Linked DNA regions of Tribolium castaneum. The protein of the gene in region 1 purifies or fractionates together with the protein of each later gene. This does not show direct contact. Links are inferred from orthologs where the notes say so. Each region holds a gene or a part of one and is shown on either strand. Other genes may lie near its edges.

Region 1 (9,613 bases):
GTAAACAGTCAGGCGGAGTGTGCCTTTGTTAATGTTTGCCTTGCAGAGGAGTGTCCCAAGGTGCAGCGGGCGTGCAATGAGGTGGCCACGGTCCTGGGCCACTATGCTAGGGTCTTCGAGACGGCGTGCAACATGCACCAGATGTGTCTCCTTTGCGTAAGTTGGGTGCTTGTGGTGGGTTTTGATTGATTTTTTTGCAGACTAATAACAGCTGGTTCGCCCCGACTCGCCAATGCAACGTCCTGTTCCTGAGCAAGGCGTTCGAGCTGTGCGATGGCAAGCAGGAGTGCCAGAAGGAGGCGCAAAAGTCGGTCCGGTATTTGCTCGATGTTAACCGTTCGTTAAGACTGGAACCGCTGGGGGAGTGCGAGCTCGCCTGTCCCGACAGACGATAAACTAGGAACGATCGATGTCCGGAAGGGTCAAGCCCTTGATTTCTCTCGACGCCATCTAAATTGTATCGATATTTACGACAGCCTTGATTTATTTCAATGGGTGTATTATCATTGTAACTTATTAAATGTACACATAGTAAATGTTGCTTCAGAAATGACATTAACACTGAAGTTCGTTGTTAAATATTTATATTCTATTTGTTTATTCGAAATATACAGCGATTTATCTTTACACATTCTAAAACACGTTCAAAGTAATAAATTCCAACTTCATTACTGTACAGGTTTAAATTCTCATTGTTGTATCTAAATTTTTTAGTGACAGGGATGCGTTGAACGTGATTTTATTATGAGCAGTTGACTGGAGTCGATACGGCGATTTCATTAGTGCCCTGGAACGATCGTGACAATAATCCCAAATATCTGATTAAATTAAGAAATTTTTGACAGGGCGATTTCCGCATCAAACCCACGTTTGAAATCGCCGCATCAAGACCATCGATCTTGCTTAGACAAAAGGACTGTGCTACTGTATTAACGGTTTCAATATATTTTAATGGTAAAATAGACAATTTTATTTGATGTTGAATCAGATTTTTCTTATCTCACCTAACAAACGACCAAATCCTCTCTAAAACAATGCCAGATTAGATAAAACTCATATCGACATTGCACCACAAAACACCTCCACGTACGTCTAAAAGCCACAAAAGAATTCAAAAAACATGTTTCCAACGGGCGAAAATGACCCGGCCGTTGAGGGTAAGTTTCGAAAGTCGTAGTCAATTTCACTTTAATTGCGTTATCAAGCAATTCATACAAACCATACAAAACAATTAAATTTTCAGAAATTAGCATGCCAGTTTTTTCAGAAGGGTCGTCCCCTGTTGTTTCCGAGCCGCCGTCATTAACCCGCGAGCAAGGTGAGTTTTGCGCACCACGAACGAAACCAACCGTTATTTCCAGAACGACTGGACCAAGGAACAAGACGGCCGATTCCAGTCTCCACAATCGACTGGCAAACTTCGATGACGTCCCACTTTTCGCCTCTCCACGGCTTGGATTTTTTGAAAGACGTGCACCAAATCATAATTCAGCAAACTGTTGAACTAACAGACCGTAAATATATGCTTGGTAGTTGACCCTTTTGCTCCGAAACCTCTTCCAGTGATGGCAAGTCTCGAGTCGGAGAATCGCTACACAGTTAAAGTGCCAAGAGGCGAAACGATTTACTATGCGACCGAAAGCTCGACTTCATTTCAGCGAACTTGTTTCGGATCAAGTCGAGCTTTCGCAATGAGACTTTACGACCCGACCCAACAAGAAGCTATACAGTTCAGGAGGCGGCTGGCTTGTGGCTCCTGCTGCTCGATTTTCCTCTATTTACAGGTCGGGACTAGATCAAAAAAACGCTTGGCTTAATGAATTTTTTCAGGAACTTGAAGTTTGGATTCCACCCGGAGAGTATGTGGGGAAAGTCAAGCAAAAATTTAATGCGACTAAACCCTGCTTTGTGATTTACAACAAACAGATGGATATTATCTACAGGATTGAGGGACCGGAGTCTGCGTTCGGGTGCATGTGGAGCAAAAACCACAACTTTCAGATCTTCACCAGCGACGGAATGACGCAAATTGGAAGCATCATCCATCAGTGGGACCAAGTCCAGGTCGCTTACAATTTGTTCATGCAAATGCCGGGGCAGGAAAACAACACCCGACACAAAGCACTGCTCCTTGGAGCTGCCTTCCTTCTAGTAAGATCTCGTATTGTTGTGAATTTTCACCGATTTGGTTGTTTGCAGGAGTATATGTATTTCGAGAGTGCCAAAAAGCGACAAGGTTGTAAATGTATTTGTTAGTCAAGGAGTTTTATGTACTTATATTAGTGTTAATAAAGAAAACTTCGTGTTTTTAATATGTATTTATTGAAATTGCTTGTAGAACCACAGCTACAAATAAACTTTAAAACTATTACAAAATGTCGCGTTAAAATAATTTAAAGATGTACACAATAGACAACAAAAATGTACACAAAATGTATGTAAAATATTGTAACTATAAAATTACAGTTTGCTGCTTACATCCAAATAAATAACAAAACCCAGTAGAGCAATGACGTAACAATAAAAGCGTCCTACATCTTATTAATGACAGATATTAAAATGATCGATATTTACATTTGAAAATGTACATGTGGCTAGAACTCTGGCCTCAACTGTGTAGCTATGGGCGTCCGGAATGCATCCGCATTGTTAGACTAAACGAGCCGGTGTAAGTACCTATAGTTGCTGTTTGATGAACATATAAATACAAGGGAACTATATTACAGTTATGTTCAATGACTAACATAGAGTGACACTCATAGTAACGTGTTGAATGCAAATAAATATACCGAAGAAGCGTGAATTTCTAGTAATTTACATCATCAGGTATATAGTTTTACATAAATATTATCCCAAATTGGACAGAACGGTTCAAATTGGACAGGTGCAGGTCTAGTATTTATTTTGCCGAAGCCAATATCGGCTGGACGACTAAACCCGAATCAAATGGGTGATTAACATAATCACTGAGCAACAAACAAACAGTAAAGACTAGATAACATTGCGTATTAATTTACATAATCATATATTTCAAAAATGGAATGTAAAACGTTGCAGGTGACAAACTGAATGCAGTCTTACTCGTGACGAAACAATAGCAAAAATCATCACTACAGACCTATCATCATATCTTATCACTATATGTTCTACAAACACACAGAATTGTTTAAATACTTTATGTAAACTACATTCTATTACAATTATATATTTATGTACTATATCTGTTCAATTATACAGCACGCAAAACCTATACCCTCTTCAGCCAGTAGACTCCAGGGCTTCTGTGGAAACTAACAGCAATTATCACAGAAAGAAATTCTTAAAATATAAAAACCAAGAAAAATCGTAAAAAATAAAAACAAACACAAAGAATTTATTTAATCCTCAAATAACCCGTTCAACTATCAAGGTACGAAAGCTCTCGCCCCCATTATTCCAGAAATAACGTGAAGAGCCGATAATACTGGATTATTTTGACAAGATTAAAACGATTTCCCCATTGATTTGATATGTGCCACTGTGTTATACCAAAGCTACGGCACATGTAAAACTACCAATTTACACGATTGCCGGTAGGAATGAGAGGTAGTCGCTTAGTCAGTTGGCCAAGTCAAGTCGTGCAACCAAACAGCAATGCAAAGCAAAAGACCAAAACCAAACCTAGGAAGTTTCTATGCCACGTAAATGGACGGCACAGCTACACACATGGAATGTGTTTCAACACACAATAATACATAAAATCGGGTGGATTATTGGAGGGGACTAGTTATTGTGCCTATTTGGCTTTAGAACTGGGCCGCGTCCCCACGCTGTTCAGGCCTTCGCCGCGCGATCGCGACCGGGGAAGGCCGCCGTCGCCTGCAAGACACCCATGACTACCAACAATCGAAACCAAATCATTTACCTTTTCCACTCGCACACTTATTGTTATTGGCAAGAGAATCGGCCTTGTAGGCCCGCATTGCGCGGCCCCGTCGGTCCAATATCAGCTTATCAGCGCGTACGAACATGCCGTACTTGGGCCGGCAGCTGAAATAGCGCACTCCTTGCACACTTCCGTCGTTTTTGCCCTTGGGGGCGTCGAGCTCGACGCCAATCCAGGTGCCAGAGGCGAACTCGGTGCCGCCAATGTAGGCGACGACACCTGACGAATTGTACGGTCTTATAAGAACACTTTCGCCCAGTATGACCCACTCTGGGACGGGAACATCTGACAACTTGGTCAAGTCAGGCTTCGATCCGAAATTGTTTTCGGAGTCGTCTGCAAACACACAGTTAGAAACTGAAACAACGGTGTGGTCGACAACCTTCTAATCGGTCAGTCGAACTGTCTAATCCTTCGTCATCGTGTATTAAATTCGTGTGGATTAGACTTTGTTCGTAGTTTTGAGCAACTTTACTTTCTGATAATTGTGGCCGTATTTGTGGGAATGACGCTCGCTGCGAGTGTTGCGTTTTTGATGATTTTTTTCGTCGTACGACTTTTCCGGGTGATAGGTTTGTTTTGATTACTGAGCTTCCTTCGTTGTCACATGGAGGTCTGTCTTGGTTATTATCGGAATGATTGTCAACGCCATTGGCGACGAAATCGTCGGCATTTTCATTGCTTTCGCCACCGTAATTGCTTTCCTGAAACACGTAATCAAATATCGGCGAATCCAGTAATTACCGACAGTACTTGATAAGTTTCGCTCGAACTATCAGTTGCTTCCGAAACCGGTTGCAGGTCATTGGAAACTGGCTTCGCTTCCAAATCTGGTGTTTCGTCAACACTGATGCTTCGCAAAGACATCGAATCGTCGCTTGATAAGTTTGTTGACGAAACTGCTTGAGAACCGTAGCCACTTGAAGTCGTAGAAGGTGTGCTAGACTTGGGAGCGAGTTCGACAAGGGAGTCGAGAGTTCGTGAAGTGGGAATTGTTCGTCGTCCGTTGGTTCTACTCCTCACGTTATACTGCAAGTATCGACTGACTTGACTGTATCTAAACCAAAAACACACTTACAGTAACTTCGTGTTTTTCGTCATGACCCTCTTCACACTGCTCTTCAATTGTGTCATCACTCAGAATATCCAAGGAATGTTTTCTAGGCAACGAAGGCTGTTCCTCGTGAAGAGTGGTCATTCTCAAGCCCAACTTGGTATTAGCAGGTGAAGTAATACCGGGGAACACTGGAATTTTATCGGTTAGACAAGAACAAGACAGTGGTAACGAACACAAAAAAACAACATGCTAAAATCAACAAAAAATAAGAAACAAAAGGCGAAATGTAGGAGTATGACGACATACGTTTTGAACTTCCTGTAGGTTGTTGTAACCGTAAAGAGTTCAGATTTAAGCTGAGATTTAAGAAAGTCGGCCGAGCTGAAATATACAATAAATTAGTTGTTGTATAAAGCACTTGTCTAACACCGTGCTGCTTTGTATGGTATTTATAGTCAGGTCACACCTCAATAATTATCTATATATACAATCACTAACATTTAAAATGATACATGTATCATTTTAAAGTCAAAGAGACCTGTTTTAGTCTAACAAAAAACAGAACATGCAGATATAGCCAATTATACATATCGGACGTTACCTAGTATTAATTCAATACTAATTTTATAACTACGCATGCTCACGATGCTGTTTTAAGGATACATTTACTTAGAATAATACGGGTATCACAGTTTTGCCAATTGGTTGGATCCAACTTTACACCCAGTACTGTTTTAAGTAAGTCTCTGTGACTTCATTACAATTGATAAGATGAATGATTCATCAGTTCGTTACTTTACGCTTACTTCTCCAAATTCTTATTAAAGCATAGCATTTAGCTTTACTTCGTTAGTTTATATAGTACTGATGCTTAGGTAAGCTTAAATTAAAATGGCAAATTATAACCAAAACATGCTGAATATGTTGTTCTCTACGGTTGTCTAACACTACATGAGAAACATAGTTTTGAGATGAACTACGACAAACTATGGATCTAGAATGAATGACCATTGAAAACAACTAACACAAGCAAATCAATTGTGAAGAGTATTAGGTGTTTCCGGTCGGAACGAATGAAAAACTATCTCAAAACTCATGTTACAGACAAGCAGACGGTTCTTTAAACAGTCATGATCTGTATCCACCTATATAGCAATCTCAATATGCAAGCCTCCATTTTACCTGAAAGAATGGAGCCTTGTGGTTGCAGAAAAAAATTCAATCCAAATTAGTCAAGCAAAAAATTTGACAAGTTGGAAGAGCCTCAAGCTCCAACATCGATAAAAACACCATGGTAGAAAAGAGTTAAGAAGGGTTCAGTGCACATTTTGTGAAAACATGAAAATTAACATTAAAAAATCTCAGCGTGGTGATGAGCACGTCATTATCAGTTAAACATTTAGATGTTTTGTAAAAACATACGGCCCCAAAGCGTAACAGCAATGGCACCAAACAATCTAAATCTCTGAAAACTAGCTATTAACTATTTCTCTAAAATAAAACATTGATATTTGAACTAAACTATTCTCATTAATCGGAATAAATAAAACTTGACTTGGGACCTACCTATGCCGAAGGGTTTCGAAGGAGTGCCTTCGGAGTCCTTCCCGAAGCTGCTCCTCGGCCTCAAGGGAGTCGTAACTCCGTGAAGTTCACTGTTCAGTTCCGACACACTCTCAGAGCGGGACATATGGAGCGACTCGGTGCTCATATCTAACCTCATGAACTAGAAAAAACCAAGCAAACGTAGTACAATAACACAAAGACCAAGGAAAGGACATACCCCATTCTTTGTTTCCAAAGCCTGATTGCAAGAATGTACAAACGTGAGAGAGAATTGAAAAATAGAAAAAGCGGTTAGTTACCTGGGAGAAGTTAGGCACACTTGCTGTTTTCCTCATCAGTGGTTGGCCTTTAGCTTGAAGCAGTTCTTTCACAGCGACACTTTGCCTCAAACGGTCTAACGTTAAGATACTTTCAACAGCGCTCACACCACGGGTGTATTTTTCTAATAAGAAAACATTACTCCTGTGAAATACGCAAAAAATTGATTACCAATGTAAGTCTCTCCATCGGATAAAGACGAATCTTCCCCAGACGCCACAAGCTGGGCTAAAGACTCGCGATCTTCCAGCTCTTCGCTCGCTTTCGGCACGTTTGAAACAACCTCGTACGTAACACCGCACTGAGTAATGACATCCGAACGGACTATTTTTCGTTTAATTCGGTCCGTAATGCTCTGTCTCTTGTAGATATTCAAGGAGAGACGTTTTCTGAGTACCAGATCCATCTGTGCAGGGTGCGACAACCGCACCGTAATCCGCAAAATCATATAAACACGCTCCATTGCTAGAAAATCGAACAACTAGAAGTGGCACTTAATTCCAACAACTCAGAACTCACGTTCTGTTATTTTATTCAAATGTGAACTGTTATGAATCGACGAGTCCCAGCTGGCCACAGCACACACATCTTTCTCCAAGTGGTGCAAAATGTGTAGACTGTAAAACGTACTACCCACTTCCTTAGGCAGGATTGAGTTAGCACCAGCCACAGTAACCTCGACCCCAGATTGGTGCGTGCTAAAATCATCGGCTGGAATCGCAATTATTAAAATGCGGCCACAAAAAACAGTAATTTTACCATTTAAATCTAAAAATAGGACTGGGACGTAGGGTTCCATGCCGGGTGGTGGGCTCCACACAGCTGGGGCACCAGGAATCCCAGCCCCCGGCTTCGGAATAATAACAGCATTGCGTTCCTCCGTTAAATTCACCCACTGGTCCATCAAACTCTGCTCGCGTTCGCAGTCCTGGTCGGTCTTGTTCGGCTTCTCCAGCAGCTTTTTGATTTGTTGCTCCAGGTACTGGTGGCGCCTCAAGAGCGCCTCGTTCCACTTCTCCCTCAAAACCGTCAAGTCCTCCTCTTGGTACGAGTCCAGGTGTTTCTGGAGCCGGCTTCGTACCATCACGCCCCCAACTTCGATTTTGACAATTTCCTGGCAGATGATTGGTAGTGTTCCAGAGTTCTGGACCGGCTTAACCCGGACCTGGATCCGTCTCTGCTGTCCCTGACGCAACTGGTACACCCCCCCGGCTGATACTTCGTTTTTGGTGGTGACTTCAACCGGGGCGTATTCTCCCTGGTCGTTCAGTTCTTGTATTTCGACCCAGAGTTCGATTTTTCGGGTCAGTTCGGACCACCGGTCGACCAAAGACCGGGCTGTGGCGAGTTGTTGCTCGACTTCCCAGCCGGGTTTGTGCTTGGAAAAGCCGGCACTTCTGTTGCCCCACACTTCTATGGAGAGGGCGCCTTCGGCGCAGTGCTCGAGGAACTCTTCGGTTACAGGTACAACAAAATCTTTCACATGGTCGAATTTAAACACCGTCGAGTCTTTGGAAACCGGCAACTGGAACGTGGCAACATCCGAGTTTGTGGGCACGACAATCGGGTCAGGGTGGTTCCAAAAGGTGTATTGGCAGAACACGTAGTGTGACAGTGATAGCGGTAAACCTGAAGCTTGTCTGATGTGGACGCGGCAGGTGACGCTGGGAGTGCCGTGGTCCTCATCGTCGTGGCTGCTATCGGAGGAGCTATCTGAAGCAGCTTCGCATATCCGGTCTTGAGGGAAAGTTCCAGCAACGCGGCTAAGTTCGACCTAATTAGGGTAATTAAGCAAACATGTTTCGTTCTCCTGACTTACGGCCGCGTGATTTGAAAATGTCATGCCAATAAACCCCAGCACTTGGGTTCGGTAGGTACTCCAACCGCAACCATCGGTGGTAATAAACTATATTTAGTCGTAAATTTGAGGAGACGATATAATTTTAGTTTTCAACTTGAATACAATTACTTAAAATAAGATTTCATTTGATGTTTTTAGTAATTTTCAAAGTCATTATGTTGACGAAATCCGTAATCAATGCAACAAATAATAAAGGGTATGTCCAGTTTTCAAAAAAGGGGACAATGCTATTATTTGTAACTATCGACAGATTTCTATACTTTCTAATTTTGCTAAAGTCTTTGAGCAGTGTTTGTATCAGGATATCTATTATAGCGTAAAAAATTTCATCTCTCCGGATCAACATGGCTTCGTTAAGGGGCGCTCAACGATTACGAATCTCGCGCTTATTACACAGTACATTGCAACCAACTTGGATTCTGGTCGTCAGGTAGATGTGATATACACCGATTTTACTAAAGCCTTTGATTCAGTTAGTCATGATATCCTGCTTCATAAGTTAACTTTCTTCGGCTTTTCTTCTTCTTCCCTTCTCCTCCTTCAATCATACCTATCAAATAGAGTTTCCTATGTTTCCTTTAATGGTTTTTCTTCTTTCAATTACTGTGTGAAATCTGGAGTCCCTCAAGGATCAAATTTGGGGCCACTTTTATTTATTCTGTTTATTAATGATTTGTTACTGTCTTTATCCTGTCCTGTTCTTGCGTATGCGGATGATTTAAAAATATTTAATTCTATCACAAATCAAAATGATGCTGACTTGTTACAACTGAACTTAAGTAAAATTGCAGACTGGTGTAACAAATATAAATTACATTTAAATATTAGTAAATGTTGCACAGTTTCTTTCTCTCGATGTCGTTCTCCTTTTCCATCTTCATATTCT
Region 2 (9,613 bases), on another chromosome or scaffold:
GAAGATAAAGATTTATTTTTACGTTGTTTCATATCCTAACTTCTAGATACCCGTACTCAGAGTCAATAACTCGTTGTTTACAATGACCAAACCTTGTTTGTCAAAAAACGAAACATAAACAAGAAATACATAATTGCAAATAAATAAATACGTCCCGATTGCTGTATAAAAAGCAAGGAAAAAAAATGGGTAAATACAATTTTGCGATTTGGAGAGAATTCAGCGAATAATCATAAATTTGATGTGAAACCGTATAATGAGTATTTTATTACCGTATAAACTAATTGATTTGAATGCGGGTCGTGAGAAGCCCCACTAATGAGTGGTTAATTAAAATATACTAGTTATCAAAAAAAGCGGAACACATGGAAATTGTGTAGGTAAAGAACTGAAACTTTGTGAAAATGTTGTTACCCACTCAAAAATAAATTGATAACAGTTTCTTAGCCATTCCTCAAAAAACAACCCCTTTAAGAAGGTTTTTCTAGTCTTTCTGGGGTTCACTGATATGCTTTTTCTGTTGGCGATAACTATGGAAAACTTTGTTTTCTGTGTATATTGGGCACTAACAGTATGCCTCCCGTACGAAGACAACCACGTTACCAGCAGTTAACCCCTTTTGAGCGGGGGCGAATTGTCGGGCTACGTGAAGGTGGCATGTCGGTTCGGGAAATTGCAGCTCGTGTGAATCGTGGAGTGGCTACTGTCCTGCGATGTATACGGGCATGGGAGGAAGAAGGGAGAGAACATCGAGCGAGAGGTTCTGGACGGCCACGAGGTACTACCGCACGCCAGGATCGGTACCTCCACTTTTTAGCCTTTCGAGACCGGCATGTCTCCACACGGCGGATTGGTGACCAGTGGTATGCTGCAGAGGGTCGACCAGTTACAATGGCAACTGTATATAGACGAATCAGATCTTTCGGGCTTCACTCTTATCGTCCGCATTTGGTGCTCCCCTTAACTCCTCAACAACGACAACATCGACTTGACTGGTGTCGCGCGCGAGAGAATTGGGATCTAGAATGGAATTCGGTGGTCTTTTCGGATGAATCGCGGTTTTGTTTGGGCATGCATGATGGTCGACAAAGAGTTAGAAGGGTACGTGGGGAACGGCGAAACGTAGCCTTTTCTGTGGAACGCCCTGTAGCTCGAACTGTGGGTGTCATGATTTGGGGCGCGATAGCCTATGGTAGTAGGTCACCCCTTGTTTTTATTGAGGGATCCATGACTGCCCAGCGCTACGTACAGGAGGTTCTGGAACCTGTCGCAGTACCATATGTGCAAACTATTGAAAACGCGTCGTTTCAACAGGATAACGCCACGCCACACTCAGCACGCTTTACGTTGAGGTACTTAGAAGAAGTTCAGGTGCAAGTTCTTCCTTGGCCGCCTCGATCGCCTGACCTCTCGCCGATCGAGCACATATGGGATTCAATAGGTCGGCGAGTGACGAATTTACCCCAGCCTCCACAAACGCTAGCGGACCTGCGACGAGAAATTTTGACTGCTTGGGAGGCCCTGCCCCAAGACGAAATTAATCATTTAATTCGAAGTATGCCACGGAGGGTTGCAGAGTGTATACATGCACGTGGAGGGCCAACCCATTATTAAGTTTTTTTTGTTAAAATTTTTATTTTTCAATTACACTTTTTTCATCATTTATTGTTTACTTTACCACCATTTTATATTTTTAATTTCATTAAATTCAACGCATTATTTCTGGGTGTTCCGCTTTTTTTGATAAGTAGTATATGTGGTATTTTAGTTAAAATTAGCAACATTTGAGAACGAAATTAAATTAAAGCAACTAACCTGATCATGTTAAAACCGATTACAAATCCCACATAAAACATCCACTAACTTTGAATGTCAAGCACCAACTCATGAATCTTCAAGCCATTGTGGAAGAAGAATCGAAAAAACGTGTAGGAATGCAACGCTAGTTGCAAGCAAATTGACTGAGAACTCTCCCGTTAAAAAATTGTTAATGATCGTTTAGCATAAGTTAATTCGTCGAAATGTGTCTCAGCGCCAAGGTAGTTGTCAACTCATTACCATTCTATCGGCAAGGAAGTTAAAGTTCATGAATGAGTGAGTGATGCAGTGACGGTTTTTTCTCCACGAATTAACTTGTTGTATTCAATTGTGGCAACTTTTTCCTTTTACTTTCAATTCAGTCGCCTTTGAAGTGGCTGCAAACTTCCTTATTAATGAGGAATTTTAACAAAGTGACTTTAATCGAATTTTTAGTTGGAGCTAGCGCTCAAACTTTCTAAATTTGGAAAAATGGTCTCTGGTTGCAGATGCATTTTTTGCTAAATGCTAATCCGGCGTTGTGTTAAATTCATGGTAACAATTATTCATTATTAATGCGCATTTTTGCCACAGAGGCTTTATTAAAACATCCATTTTAGTGGTAATTTATGGACATCGGGCACCGCATGACGACAAATCAATGGATTTCAATGGAGCGCTTCGCAATAAAAACAAATTCACTAAGCGGATCCGTTATTATTATGAAACAATAATAATTAGGCCTGACAAATGATTAAACTCTTTGTAACAAGCGGTCAAACAAAATAACACGCAGCGAAATTTGTCATTATTTCCAGACGAAAAGTTTTAATTATTGAATTAATTAGTAAATTCACCTCGAAATATTTGAGGAGAAATTCCGTTACCGCCCTGTTAAATAATTAATTTGCCAACTTCACAGAGAGGGTATAAAATATACTCGAAGCCTGGGGATTACGCCGGGTTTGAACTTACCGAGATACATCCTCCTGGCTGACAGCCCTTGGTGTTGAGGGTGGATGGTGAAGTGCGAGGTTTGATGAGTGAATCGACTCGGGGTACGCGTTTGATGCCTTCGTAGCTGGAACAATTTTCAATTATTTTTCACTTGATCCATAAACAATAACCCACCATTCTGAGAGAATTAAGTTAGATTTGAGTGTCATTCAACGGCGCTCTTATACAATGAAAAAATCTCCATCTTATTTCGTATTAGGTCGGCAAATAAATAAAGACGTTTTCGATTTGAAAACCAGGCTAAAAAAATCAATAAGCTCTGACATTAAAATGTTTTTCAACCGAAACGGCAAAATTTCGTCAAAAATTATACAAAAAATAATATTTTTGACTTTTTCGGAGAGTTTTTGAGCTAATTAGCAAATTACAAAAATAACATTGTCTTGATAAAAATATCGAAAAACCGCTGAATTGGATAATTGGATCGAAAATGTTGTCAATTTTGCTTTTTACAAGCGATCATGTAAGTACATTATTTTCAGTCAGACAATTAATATTTCACTCACAATTTATTCAAAAATACCAAAAAAATCATTGAATTGGATTGAAGATGGTATAAATCTAGCATTTTTCGAGCGCTGAACACGCATTTGAAATAACAAATCAGTTTCTTTGCGAGATTTTGTTATACCGGAAAGAAAAATCAGTAAATTGGAACAAAAATGGTATTTTTTTAAGCTTTTTAGCTCTTTATCGAGCCAGAAAAGTAATGATTATTATTATTACTATTATTATTTTTCTTTATAAATTTTGAACGTCTCTCCCGACTGATCAATTGATTAACATAATTAGATACCTCGTAAAGAGATTCTCTAAATTGTCCAAAGTACAAAATATCTGACTTTAACAGTTTTTTTATTGTATTTTCGGTTAATGCGTCTACGTGTATTGAACTTAGAGATGGACAGAACTTAAGTATGTGAAAATCGAAACAATTTTATATGAAAAAAAAAAACCATGCAAACTTGTGATATAACGCAAAGGGCTAGTAAAAAAGTAGCATTTTAATTAACCTAAACCTAAATAAAAAAAAGTTTTTCACCCTTGAATTATGTTAATACGAGTACATAATACCGATTTGAATTTCATTTTGTTTGTAGATATTTATTTATATTTATTGTTATGAGATTAAACCAATTAAATTCTTTGTTGATATTATTTTTATTAATTGAAAAATCGTATTCGCACATAAATTGCTGATTTAAATTTGCAGTTTTCTCTTGATACTCCTACCGCTCTTTGAACAGACAAATTTTGATGGTCCATTCAAGTGAAATTCTACTGTAGGTATTATTTTACCAACACAATTTTTTTTTAAATCTTTATTCCGCTCAGGAAATGTAAAAAATATTGTGAAAATATAGAAAAAATTAGAAGTAGTAAAACCAAAGCAAACGGTGCTGGATTTTTTTTTGCGTAGTGTACGACATGCTAAACAGTACCTACAAAATAAACTCGAGTTTGCACCCAATTCACTAGTTTTCAATAATTTATTTTCTTATCCATAGTTTAATTGCGCGCGAGATAAACAAAAACCTTATTATTATTACACTTTAATAATATTAAATAAGATTTGAGTCATATAACAGCGTCTTGACACAATAAAAAAGAGTCTCGATCTAATTTCAAACAACACGGTAAGTAAATAAATTCATTATTGATTTGCAAACCTTGTTTTATTTTTAAAAGCTCGTGTTTCTGCAACGTTTCATGAAATGATTTTCCTGAATATCGTCCATAGGCAACCAGTTATACCCGCAGCGCTTTTTTCCGTTTTACGCAAAGAAAAACCTCGTAATTTTCTCGCGAGACAGATTTATTGTTATTTGCAGCGTCACACAAGATAATGGTCTTTAGCCGCATTTAGAAGCGGCTATTGTTAATGTCGCCGCGAAGCGACCAACCCTTCTACAGTAATTTAATAAAATTATGAATGGATAACTGCTCCTGGGCTTTAAGGTAAAACCTGACGTTTGAATTATGAGATCGCGTCAGAAACAGTTATATATTTCTAACTTACACAATTGCGGCGAGTAGGAAGTATCAGATGCGGGAGCATTAAAGGCACTGTCTGGTTTGGCGACGACGAGCACAACCCTGTCCTGCGTTGTTTTGAGCGTAGTGACGGCGTCCTCATGGGTGACATTCTCCAGGTTAACTTCGCCTTTCTGAAAAACAACGTGAAACGTTTAATTAAAAGGAGAAAAAGGCAATTGTTGCAGACACCGATAGAGGAGAACGAGCGAAAGAAAATTTGATTATGTAATTATGTCGGAAGAACTGGCGTTATTTTATGTGAAATACGTGCTTTCTTTTCTTTGGACCTGGTGGCGCTTTCAGTGGAATTAGTTGGCTAATTTTTATTTGGTTGCTCGCAGAGGCGGTGAGAATGAAATATCTTTTATAAGCCTTTTTTACACGGAAAAACAAAATAGTTGTTCTCAAAAACTTCTGTAAGAATATTGTTAACGGCCTGATCAATAGAATTTTTGTTAATAAGTTTTAGGTTCGATTAATTAGTATTCCTTTTTTATAATCTTGTAGTTTGTGTTGTTTTTACTTTGTTTATTTTTTCTGTTTAACTGCTACGAAAAATTTTTAAAACCGCAATTGCCGCATTACGTCTTCCCCATTTTTATAAACATCTCTAAATGTAAAAGTAGAAGTAAATAACGATTTATTCATACAGTCATTTGACTCCATGTGTTGCATTAGCTCGACTTTTTGTTGTTTAAACATACTTGTTTTACGGATTGTGAGCACATTTCTAAAATGTACCGATTTTATAAATTAATTTCCTTTATAATTTAATTTAACTGCAATGCAACGTTATGACGTTTTTAATTCGTGGTCAGTGAGCACTATTTATATAATAATAAAAAAATTCTTTTGTTATTGACAACATCAATCAATTGTACAAATTCATAAGAACACGTTTCAAATATGTTCCCATTAAAAAAAGTCCCGACAAGGATACAGAGTACTGTATGGGAATTTTGACATGAGAACAAATTGGTGGAAAATTTTCCTACAAGTTAGGGAGAATAGGGTCCCAAAACGCATCCTTTTCGTCACAACAGCACAGGTGGATCATTAAATTAGAAAATCCGAGTGCGCCTTGCCAGATGCGACGGAAGAGCGGATGAGGAAGTTGAGCTATGCAACTTTCACGAGCGGCGGTTTTTCATTCACAACTCGTCTTAAATTCGGGAAAATCCGCCCCGGAATATAACAAATCATCTCGGGCCGTATTTATGATGAAAATTTACAAATTTCGATTAGCGAAAATTGAATTGGTTTATCGCCGAAATATGAAATTTTAACACCCTTCTCGTAATAAATTCCACATTTTAAAAAGCGTGAAATGCAAATAAACCCAGCGTGCACATGTTGTGTTGTTTTGCAAATTGTTTCGTGCATTTTTAATAATACGCCGAGCTGTCACAGGGCAATGCCATTGCCGTTCCGCTGCAAATTTCAAAAGACGACCACATTCATTGGAGATTATAGAAGAGAAACATTGCGTGGTGACTTTTGTGAATAAAATATCACAATGGAAATCCTAAACTCAATAAAATAACTGAAAGTTATTGATGCATTCTAAAATTTGTTTTTGTAACTCGCTGAATCTGTTTTACGTTGCTAATTGATATGAATCGACCTTAATAATAGTGTTTGCATGCAGGGCCTCCGGCTACGAATAAAAACAGTATCAGGAAAAATCCACATTGTTGAAGAGATCACGCGTTATTAGAAACAGTAGAAAAGAGAAATATGAAAAAGGATATTACGGCAATATTTCCATTTCGTGCTCCTTTTGAAAATCAATAGCACTATCAGTTCGTATATAAAAAACATCCCTGATAGGCAAAAATACCTCAACTATTTTCCTCTAAAAGAAAACTCGCTTCTTTTACTAACGCTGAACGGAAGTTCGTTCGGCGAAGACACGTTTGTCGTCGTGTATTTTCCCAGAATAATGAAAAGCCCCGTAGTCAAAAGAACATGGAAATTGTAAACGTAAAATAACGGGCTGACGACAGCGCATCATAAAATATTACGTACGGAACGTAAAACTAAGAGAAAATGAGAAATGTGTACGTTACTTAACACTTTAATAACGACCCCAAAAAGTGGAAACCGAATTTAATTAAAGTCGCGACTGCAATAATTTGAAAAATGCGCCTTCTTTCCCATCACATAAAACAAGAAATCGTTTAAAAACTTGTTGCTGTATAAACGTAAATTCTCTCGTCGTAAATGTTGAAGTGTCTCTCGATTGAGATTTTGCAACGTTCAGTCGACGAAACGTCTGGATAAGAGGATACTTACGACAGCGTCCCTGACTGCGACGAGTTTATCGCCAACAAGGAGACGACCATCCACTTGAGCAGCACCACCCTCCATCACTTTAGTGACATAAATGCCGTTATCACCGGGGATGTGCTGATTGCCAATGCCACCGGCAATGCTAAAGCCGAGACCTTTGTTGCCTTTTACCAACTCGATCTCCATCAGTCTCATGTTGCGAGGTTGTCGCCGGCGTCGCACGCACTGAAAAATCACAAATTACTTAATTCACTTTGTGATCTCAAACAATTAACAGTCTAAAACTCAAGCTAATAAACGCTTTAATCAGGAGCTAACGGCTTCTCTTTGTAGGTTTTTCTGATTAAGGAACTAAATTAAAGATTGTTGTTTTTATGGAGATTTTTTTTGAATAATTTGAAAAATTCGCTAGGTTAGAACAAAATTCCAAAATAAAACCAAATGGTGCGATTGTTTTAATCAATTTTTAGAGCATTTTTCGATGGCAAATTCACCTCTCGTTTCTAAAGTACAAAACGAAGCTGCATATTTATATGTACCCGTAAATTAACAGAAATATATATTACTTTTCATAAATTTATGACCTCATTTTTCATTTGCTAAAACAATGTGGAAAATTATTAGTAAATTAGATCTAACTTTATGTGATTTCAAATCTTACTAATAAATTCGACGTATTTTGCCAACCAACCAACCAAAAAATCGATTGCATTATTTATTTTGTCAATTTAGAAACATTTTCCAATGAAAATAAACAAAATATTGGTCCGAAAAGTGTTTTTTGAGCTTTTATTTATTGACCTAGAGCATTTTCATAGCAAGAAATCCACTGAATCCAAAGGTTCTGTCAATCAAAATAAAAAAAAGTCTGAAATAAGATATTTTTTTAAAATATGGTAACATCTTAAAGAGAATAATTTTTAAATCAAAGCAAAGTGTAAAATCGTTAAATCAAATCTAAAAAGTGTTATTTTCTGTGAAGTTGGAAATGAAAGCTCAAAGCCAGAAATTCACTAAACTTGAAAGATTCTGTTAAAACATTGAAAAATTCTTCATATTTGCTTCTTCCGACAGAATCTAATTTTTCAAGCTTAAACAGCTGAAATTGTCATCTTCAATAACTTACAAAATACAAAGTATTTTGCCAAAACAAAGTAGAAAATCCATATCGAATGCATTATTGTTTCCTAATTTAGGAACATTTTCACCGAAAAAAAGCAGAAATACTAAAGCAGAACTTTCTATCTATTTCGAAACATATTTCACCGATAAACTTACAAAATTAACAAAAATGTACTACTTTCCCAAAATGTAAGATCTTATTCTTCAGTAAGATATTTAAAAATTTATGAAGAAAATCGTAGAGAAATTATTTGAAATTTTCTGTGAGTTTAGAAACATTTTCAGAGACTTACTAAATTCGAACTATTTTACCAAAACAAAGCATCAAACAAAGCATGTCGAATGCATTATTATGTTTATATCTAAATTTATGAACATATTTCAGTGAAAGACTGAGTCGGAGAAAGCAGAAATATTTGAACAAAGAGTCAAAAAGCTATAAATAAAAATAGAAGTCCGAAATGGATGATAAACTTAATAAATTAGAAATGTATTGTTATAAAAGAATAACACTGACATACGAACGCTTTAGACTTATTTTTCAAACGAATTTACTGAAACGAAGTAGAACATCGTTAAATTAGAAGTATGCTTGTATACTTCAAATCAACAGTTATATTTTTTCCGTTTTACCCCAATTTTCCCATTAGCACCTAAATTTCCGTCCTAATTCAAAGACAATACATAAAAATAATTTCAAATTTAAGATGCAACAGCACGTTTAATGCAAACTCTAATTGGTATTTTGTGTTCTTTGTAAGTCTTCGTTTAAGCACTGGCGTTTTCGAATTAAGTGGTAACGAATTTGGACGTTCAGCCGTTGGGAAAAGCCTTTGATAGAAGTAAAAATCGTGTCGTTCGAAATTTAATTCCGCTCCTAAGTATATTTATTACTATCGAAGAGCATCGTCAATATTTCCGGAACAATTTTCTTCCTCGTTGATCAATCAATCGAAGGACCGGAACAACATTGATTTTGATGAGCGTGAAATTCCCTGAAGGGGAATAGGCCGAGTTTATCTTTGAGAAAACAGACGCGATTAAATACTCCTCTGCGTATTTTTGCAATCAACTCGTCGGGTAAATATTTCAAGAAGAAATAAAATGATTACTCTATAATCCTTAGCCTTTCCGAAAACGGCGACACCTTTGAAATTGATTTCGGGGCTGTTCACCCCCATATTTCTCGAGATTACAGGTAGATAAAACACCGGCATGGGTAAAAATAACGTTTCGCGTCGACGAGTTTCACTAAACTGAAATCGCATGTGATGCAGCAAAATAAATTCGAACCGTGTCATAGGTGCACGACATAACCCGGCGCATCCGCCTTTTGTCGACGTGAAGG

The links.
Region 2: the proteins of Khc-73 (region 1) and dlg1 purify together in Drosophila melanogaster (affinity purification with western blotting; 3 studies listed by BioGRID). This does not show direct contact. The link is inferred for Tribolium castaneum from reciprocal best matches to the Drosophila melanogaster genes Khc-73 and dlg1.

Annotation. Positions count from the first base shown.
Region 1 is NC_087403.1:4,108,062-4,117,674, reverse strand, and holds the end of Khc-73 (kinesin-like protein KIF13A), read right to left. Parts: intron 8,641-9,613; coding exon 7,626-8,640; intron 7,578-7,625; coding exon 7,386-7,577; intron 7,332-7,385; coding exon 7,038-7,331; intron 6,991-7,037; coding exon 6,848-6,990; intron 6,787-6,847; coding exon 6,766-6,786; intron 6,709-6,765; coding exon 6,549-6,708; intron 6,180-6,548; coding exon 6,165-6,179; intron 5,364-6,164; coding exon 5,289-5,363; intron 5,171-5,288; coding exon 5,004-5,170; intron 4,955-5,003; coding exon 4,679-4,954; intron 4,630-4,678; coding exon 4,308-4,629; intron 4,262-4,307; coding exon 3,905-4,261; intron 3,859-3,904; coding exon 3,776-3,858; 3' UTR 2,304-3,775; downstream 1-2,303. Other genes in the region: uncharacterized protein LOC103313041, read left to right, coding at 47-156, 201-395; phospholipid scramblase 1, read left to right, coding at 1,121-1,157, 1,244-1,318, 1,362-1,514, 1,564-1,784, 1,831-2,151, 2,200-2,256.
Region 2 is NC_087397.1:8,308,888-8,318,500, forward strand, and holds part of dlg1 (disks large 1 tumor suppressor protein), read right to left. Parts: intron 7,369-9,613; coding exon 7,147-7,368; intron 4,983-7,146; coding exon 4,835-4,982; intron 2,879-4,834; coding exon 2,773-2,878; intron 1-2,772. UniProt on the Drosophila melanogaster protein: During embryonic development, some isoforms are essential for proper neuronal differentiation and organization. Required for cell polarity; maintenance of apicobasal polarity.